Linked DNA regions of Oryza sativa Japonica Group. Each later gene encodes a partner of the first gene's protein in a complex. Links are inferred from orthologs where the notes say so. Each region holds a gene or a part of one and is shown on either strand. Other genes may lie near its edges. The genes, in order: SNF1-related protein kinase regulatory subunit gamma-1-like and SNF1-related protein kinase regulatory subunit beta-3.

What was found.
Region 2: SNF1-related protein kinase regulatory subunit gamma-1-like (region 1) and SNF1-related protein kinase regulatory subunit beta-3 share a complex: the UniProt entries of both Arabidopsis thaliana proteins name them as parts of the probable heterotrimeric complex. The link is inferred for Oryza sativa Japonica Group from reciprocal best matches to the Arabidopsis thaliana genes AT1G69800 and AT2G28060.

Annotation. Positions count from the first base shown.
Region 1 is NC_089035.1:23,394,472-23,398,395, reverse strand, and holds the start of SNF1-related protein kinase regulatory subunit gamma-1-like, read left to right. Parts: upstream 1-1,271; 5' UTR 1,272-1,537; intron 1,538-1,936; 5' UTR 1,937-1,938; coding exon 1,939-2,098; intron 2,099-2,178; coding exon 2,179-2,621; intron 2,622-2,964; coding exon 2,965-3,231; intron 3,232-3,394; coding exon 3,395-3,567; intron 3,568-3,655; coding exon 3,656-3,924. UniProt on the Arabidopsis thaliana protein: Regulatory subunit of the probable trimeric SNF1-related protein kinase (SnRK) complex, which may play a role in a signal transduction cascade regulating gene expression and carbohydrate metabolism in higher plants.
Region 2 is NC_089043.1:16,341,107-16,345,030, forward strand, and holds the start of SNF1-related protein kinase regulatory subunit beta-3, read left to right. Parts: upstream 1-1,594; 5' UTR 1,595-1,692; intron 1,693-2,158; 5' UTR 2,159-2,236; intron 2,237-3,924. UniProt on the Arabidopsis thaliana protein: Regulatory subunit of the probable trimeric SNF1-related protein kinase (SnRK) complex, which may play a role in a signal transduction cascade regulating gene expression and carbohydrate metabolism in higher plants.

The DNA.
Region 1 (3,924 bases):
TTGATCCAAATTCCAATTGCTGACATTGACATACAAGAATAACGACATTCCATTTGTTTGTTTGTTTTTTTAAGTCTTAGACTCGAATCCAGATGAGCAGATTGGCTCAACTTCTTATGTAAATTCAATTTATTATTTGTAACTAGGTTAAACAAATTATGTTGAATTGGTTAAATTTGTTAAGTTAAATTTGCAAACTTTAGCCTTTCATCATTTTTTTTCTGAAGCTCTGATGTATTTTACACTGCAAAGCGGTTGACCTACTTTTATGTAGTGATGTAAGTGGCCTATCTCACTACCCGCATAAAAACACGTTTACTCGTTCATTTCTCACACGTTTACCCTTGAACCCCCGGGATCGGTGGCGGCGAGGGCGGGGGGAGGAGGGGAGAGGAAGGCGGTGGCTTGGAGGTGGAGTGCAATAGTGGCACGCGAGGTCGTCACCTCGCCAAGGTCGCCGAGGGCACCGTCTCGCCGAGGTCGCCGCCCGCTGCCTGCCTGGCTCGCCCGCGGGAAGAGAAGATGAAGAGAGGGGAGAGGAAAGAAGAGAGGGAGAGAGAAGAAAAGGAGTGAGGATGAGAAAGAAGAGAGAGGGAAGAAGGGAGGTGAGGCTGACATGTGGGACCCGTGGGGGCCCCACTATTTTTAATTATTTTTTGTGTGTAGCTAACATGTGGGGCCTGGCTTTTATTATTTTTTGGGATAAAATTGCCACGTAAGCGCCACGTCAAATGCCACATGAGACGAAGATCAAGTCAAACCAGCCACGTCAGCCAAAACCGCCGAGGGACCTCGTTTGTACCAGTTTTGACCGTTCAGGGACCGATGATATCTAGTTTTTGGTTTAAGGATGAAAATCAGATTTGGTGTAAAGTTAAGGGAACTCCAATAAATATATTCCACTTTTATATGTGTCCTGGTATATGTGGCGGACTATTTCAACCGTGGGCCATATTATGTAGGCGGCCTAGTAAAAAAGAATAAAATTATATACTCTCTCTGTTTTTTAATAGATGACGCCTTTGATTTTTAAATGTACGTTTGATCATCATCTTATTCAAAAAATTTTATGTAAATGTATAGATATAAATCATGCTTAAAATACTTTGAGTGATAAAACAACTCACAACAAAATAAATTATAATTACGTAAATTTTTTGAATAAGACGAATGGTCAAACGTGTAATAAAAAGTTAACGGCGTCATCTATTAAAAAACGGAGATAGTAATATAATATAATATAATAACGAAAACGCCACCCCTCGCGCGACGTGGCCCCACCCAAGCGCATACGTGGCACCGCGCCCCCATGGCCGCGAGGCACCGTAGTACTAGTACTAGCTAGCAATCGAATCCATCTCCCTCCTCCTCCTCCTCCTGGATTGCCGCCGCCGCCCACGGTTTCCAGCAATCGCCGCGGTTCGCGCCGCCGCCGCCGAGCGGAGCAGCGCCCCGATCGATCCCCTTCCCCTCCCGCGAGCAACCGACGCCGGCGGAAGTCCCAGCTGCTTCCGCCACTTCGCCCGGTGAAGCATCCGTACTCACGCTCATCCTCTTCCTCATCTCTCTTTGCGGTCTTTACTACCCACTACGCCTAACCCCCTTTTCTTTTTTCTTCTCGGATTTCGTTAGCCTTAGCTTCTCTTCCAGATCCGCAAGCAATTTTCTTGAATTGGACCTAACCAGAGTAAGAGTAGCAGTTTGTTAGGATTGGATTGGGAGTGTTAGCCCCTGATTAGTTGACAGGAGTAGATTAATAGTGTACCTCCGTTGAACTTGTGATGAACTTTGCTAATATATGCCAAAGTGGCTTGTCGTGATTGGGTTAGTTATGAGTATCTACTGTGCCATGATTAGATTAGATGCGTGTCCAGATTGCTGCCATCTACTGGGATTAATGTTTGAGTGAGTTTTGTTTTTTTTGTTTTTTGTGTAGAAATGGATCGACCTGATGAAACCGTGAAATTCCCAAGCTGTGATGCGTATTTTGACACTATACAGTCCAAGAAGAAGCTGCCCCTCTCTTTGCAAGAATCGCTCACTGCTGCCTTTGCTCAGATTCCTGTCTCGTCTTTTCCTGATGTTCCTAATGGCCGAGGTACACACGTCTGCAAGACAAAATTAACTAACTAGTTGTCCGCGCCATGTATTTTTTTGATCCCTCACATTGCATTGCAGTGATTGAAATTCCAGGAGACACTTCCGTTCTTGACGCTGTGAGAATTCTCTCCAAACACAACATTAGGGCAGCGCCAGTGCTAAATCCGGAATGTGGAGCTCCGGCTGATTGGAAAGGGAGGTACCTTGGCATCATTGATTACTCGGCTATCATCCTCTGGGTTCTAGAAAATGCTGAGATTGCCGCCGTTGCTCTATCAGCTGGGTCAGCAACCGCAGCAGGAGTTGGAATGGGTGCTGTCGGTGCAGTGGGAGTGGCAGCATTGGGTGCAACTGGTCCTGCAGCTGTTGCTGGCTTGACTGCCGCTGCAGTAGGGGCTGCTGTTGCTGGTGGGTTAACAGCAGAAAAGGGTGTGGCAAAGGATGGACTAACTGCTGCTGATCATTTAGGAGAAGATTTCTACAAAGTTCTGCTTCAGCAAGAACCTTTCAAATCAACTACAGTATGCATTTTACTCTATGATGAATTATTATGCATATTTGGATTTTTTTTTCCTTTTTGTTAAATGTCGATCATTTATAGAGTCCAGTCAGTCTCAAATTATTTGGTATATATTTTACCTTGAACCACTGTTCTGCTGTGTGGCTACACCGAAGTTTGGCTATCCTAGTTACAATATATGCCGCAGCTTGGCGTGATTGAAAACTTCCTGTGATTTCTTAGCTGCAACTTATTGTTGCTAATAATAGTTTGGATATCTGTCCTCTTTGCCTCATTTGAATATTGCATGATGATCTTCTGATGTAAATCCTGCTAACCTTCATATTTTTTTCTCATTATTATAGGTTCGATCAATTGTAGAATCCTACCGCTGGTCTCCTTTTGTCCCCATTACACTGGACACTTCAATGCTTACTGTATTACTGTTGCTATCCAAGTACAGGTTAAGGAATGTCCCAGTGATTGAGCCTGATAAGCCAATTATTAAGAACTTCATTACTCAGACTGGTGTTGTTAAAGGACTTCAGCAGTGCAAAGGAAGGGATTGGTTTGATTATATTTCAGCGCTCCCTCTCTCGGACTTGGGACTTCCATTTATGTCACTTGATGAGGTAATTGTGTCTCCCTAATCCAATTCTTTACTAATGAGAAATCATGTCTGCCTACATTATCAAGATAAAAGTTATATCTCAAGCTGAAACATGCTACAATGTAATTTTTTTTCTCTTCACTTTGCAATAAACTGGTAGTTGAACAATTTTGTGCTTTCTTCAGGTTATCACTGTTAACAGTGGTGATCTAATCTTGGAAGCTTTTAAGTGCATGAAGGACAACAAAATTGGTGGTGTGCCTGTAGTAGAAGGTCCCAACAAAAAACTTGTTGGCAGTGTGAGCATAAGGGATATTCGCTTTTTGTTACTTAGGCCTGACTTGTTTTCGAATTTCAGGTATCAAACCATCCGGCTATTTGTTACCGCGTGAGTCATTTTCAAAATTTTGCATTTCCATGTTCCTAATGATAAATCTTCCATACAGGCAACTTACTGTCATGGAGTTCATGAAGACCATAGGTTCCACCGTTTCTGATTCAGGGAACGGCCTGGTGAAGCCACCTCTCACCTGTTCGCCTGACGCTTCTCTTGGCAGCGTGATTGACAGCATTGCATCAAGAATAACCCACCGGATATACGTCGTGGACGGTGACTTCGAGGTTGTTGGTGTCGTGACACTGCGAGACGTGATCTCTTGCTTTATCTATGAGCCACCTGGTTACTGTGACAACTATTTGGCATCAGCCATGGATA
Region 2 (3,924 bases), on another chromosome or scaffold:
CACACCAACAGAAACAACTTTAAAAAATACCGTGATTGTGATTACGTACCCTTTATTTAATTAATTATGTTCAAAACGACAACGGTTTTATTTAGAAAAAAGTCTTGCATTTCGACTCAAAACTAGGTCACACATTAGGATAATAAATCCACCAATTATTTAGTTGGTTAGTCTTCTTTATTAAAAATGATTTTATCTCTCTTTGATGACTAATATTCAACATTTGTTATTGTAGTATCACTTTCTTATATTCATTATTTGATACGAGAAAATAAACTTATTTGGCCATCTACAATACCGAAATGTAAAAAATTAATTAAACAACATAAACGGGATATAAAATATAGGCGTGCCAATTGACGCACTGATTTTCTAATGTTTCAAATAAATATTGGGTCTATTTGGCTGCAACAAGCCAGCTGTTGCTTAGTTCCTGCAGGTAAAGAACTAGAGTCCGGCTTCGCGGAACATGCCTACTAAGATTATGTACTATAAAACATCTAAGTATAAACACCTAGATGATACTCCTACCTAAGCTTGAATGGTGAGGTGGAGGAGAGAACAGAGAGGATGAGCCACCCCTCATGCAAGAGAGAGGGTGTGTTCGGACTGTTGATACAGCCAACAGCAGCCCAACAGCTGTAATATGTAGCTTAATCGAACACAGCCATACTCTTTTCACAAACTTTAAGGAAGAAATGGAAAATAGTGATGTTGATCAAAGTTGTCAGTATCCTGATCTATATCTTAGTATTCTGTGATACTACAATCCTATCAAGCTGAAACAATATCGATCCTACGTAGTATCCTAATTTTCATAATATCTCAATCTTATTATTCATTTTTATACGATCATACAAAATTTTAGGTAGCAGCCCGATACTACGATCCTTGTGAACCTACCAAATATTATTTAAAATAAGACAGATTGAAAATAATACTGAAGTTTACATAAAACCAATTAAATTTATCAGAATTGATATTATATGCTTTAATTTATACAAAATATTATATATTTTATATAAAAGTTATGTATAGTAATACCGATACTATGATACTATAAATCAAAGAACAATCCTACCTACTATCTTGATACTTATTATCTTGATGTTGATTGGATGAGAGCGAATAAAATAAATACTTATGTATTGGGGTTAGTAAATTAGAGGCAATGCGTAGCATAAATTGCTTTCCAATTAATTAATTGATAATGTGAATAATATTAGATGTAGCAATCACCTCTACCGTAAACTTGCGCTCTTATGTTGTGACTTGCGAGCTTAACTCATGCTGAGTTCAGCAGGTGGAGTTAGGAACTCCATCTTCTCGCACAAAAACGGTATTACTTATTAATAATACGTAATTAATTAAGTATTAACTAAAAATACTTAATAAAAGATTAATACGATTATTTTAGCGATCTTTCTATAAAATATTTTTAGAAAATATACCGTTTATTAATTTAAAAAATATACGTGGTTAAAAAAAGAGAGGTGGGTTTGAAAAGAAAGAGAAGAACACAGACTTAACACTAACCGAAAAGCCTCACCTTACCTGAGCTTAAGCTTAAATACCACTCTTTGTAATAAACGACGGTAAATCGGATGGAAGTACCCAAGCCACCCCCAATTCTCCTCCTCGTCGTCGTCCTCCTCCGCCTCCTCACCACGCGCGACGCCCGCCGCCAACCAGGTGAGCTCACCACTCCCCCCGCCGCCGCCCGCCGCCGCCATCCATCCTCCCTTCCTCCCCCCCCTCCCATCTCCTCCTTCCGCTTCGCATCCCTCCCGTTCCCAGCCGCCGCCGCCTCCGCCCCCCTCGGCCCTCTGCGGCTCCGCCCGCTGACAAACCCTAGATCGCCGCCCCGCCGCCGTGCTCTCCTCCTCGTGCCTCCCCTATGGCCGCCGCCGGACTCCGCCGCTTCGGTAGTGGTCGTCTTCTCATCTGCCGCCCCCCCGAACCGAACCCTAGCTCTCCGCCGCCCTACCCTAGGTCTCCGCAGCAGCAGCTGCTGCTCCTCCTCTACCAGAAATCCCCGCTATCGGCCGCCCCCATGCCGCGCCTCCTTCCCCCTTTGCCTCGCTCGCCCTGTGATTTCGCCTTTCGAAATGGAGCCTCTGTGTGTGCGGCAAGCTCACTTTTATCTGTTGATTTTTAGTTTTGGTCGCAGGTGGCTGAGGAAGCAGTCTTCGGGTGGCCTTTGCGTGGTTTGCTTCATCAATCTCTCCATCCTAAGGTGAGTGAAAGACTAGTCCCACCTGATTATTTGTGGCTTTTGATGATCAATCTGGGTAGTTGGGAAATGTAGCTGCTGGAATTGTAGTTACTGAGATGGACATGAGCAGTTTACTTCTGTGCGGATTTGCGTGTACTTCAATTTGCTCTGAAATGCTTGAAGAACTATATGATTTAGCTTATTTTAGATCTGTACCTATTATTAGATGCTACACTTTACATGGAAGGAAGACTATCTCGTGCTATTTTTGTGCTTGGGATTTATAGTTGGCTGTGGTGGAGTACTTGAATTTTTGAATTATTTGTGTTCTTATCATATACAAAATATATGACTAAAGTCAAAGAAATGTACAGATTTAAGACCCAATTTCCTAACGATAACTGCATGTCACAACTAAACCTGTACATATTTGTCAATATGCTCACACACGCCAATTCAAGGGCCCAATCCCACACGTCACGTCGTAATAAATGAATTCCATGCAGTGATCCCACCAAAATCTTTACCCATAGTCCCCAAACTAAATAACGTGTTGCCTTACGTTATTATCCATATCCCGCAAACAAAATGACACTTTCCTATATTCTGTCTTCTTCCAACGCTTACCAGTTACCCCTATACTTGGAAGAAAGGCATCCCTAACCGTACCAAAGCTCTAACCTCTACTTCATCACTAAACTCCAAAACTCAAGATTCAGAGCAAGCTAAGCCTCAAGTTCACTCCATATTGGCCCATTTTTATGCAAGAGGCCTATGCAGCTATCATGCACAGCCAAGGATGGTATTGATGAATTACGTTCATGGGGTGCCAGCAAAAGGAAACGAATAAATGGAAGGGCGCATTTAATAAACACATAGCAAAACCAGATTTACCAAACTAGATCAAAGTCAAATGAATAAAAACAAATTAGGGATTCCGTACCAATAACAGACATCAGTTTTCGGTATCTCTTCACACTGATCTCGCTTAGGAGAGGAGGAGAGTAGTTTGAGAAGGCAGATTGTTATGGTATAAGGCAGGCATGCACTGCTGTGAACATTGATGATTCAGGCAGCAGTGTTGAATTTGAGGGAGGGGATATGATGGAAGAGATATAAGAACATGTTGGGGATCACCAGATGAGGTTGATTGAATTCTTGCTTATTTCCTCCTCTGCATTGGAACTGGATCAATTTACAAGGGAATTTTGTTTATCCTTGATTTCTTACCATGTATAGGAAATGATTTCTCTTTATGAGGCCCCTAACAATGGAAAATTAAAGGATTGTCTAAATGCTCCCAACAGATATGCTTGGATGCAACTACACAACATAGTCCTTTAGCAATCATCTACGCTGCTGGCCCTGCCATTTATGCACCACCTCATGGGCCATAGCATGACATTCTGCTACTGACTTTTTGTATAGTCACTGCATATGAAGTTTTCCTTAGTGCATAAATTTCTATATATTAATCACCACTTAAGAACTGTGGATCATGTAAGCTTTATTCAACTACCTCCGTCCCAAATATAACAACTTCCGGCTATGAATCTAGACAAGCACATGTCCAGATTCATAGCTAAAAATGCTTAAATTTGGGGATGGAGGGTAATACTTAAGCATGGTACCTGGATTTTGGATTAGTGGGCTCTTACGGTCTACCATGATGATGTACTGATTACTATGTCTCTGTTTATCCATTAAAG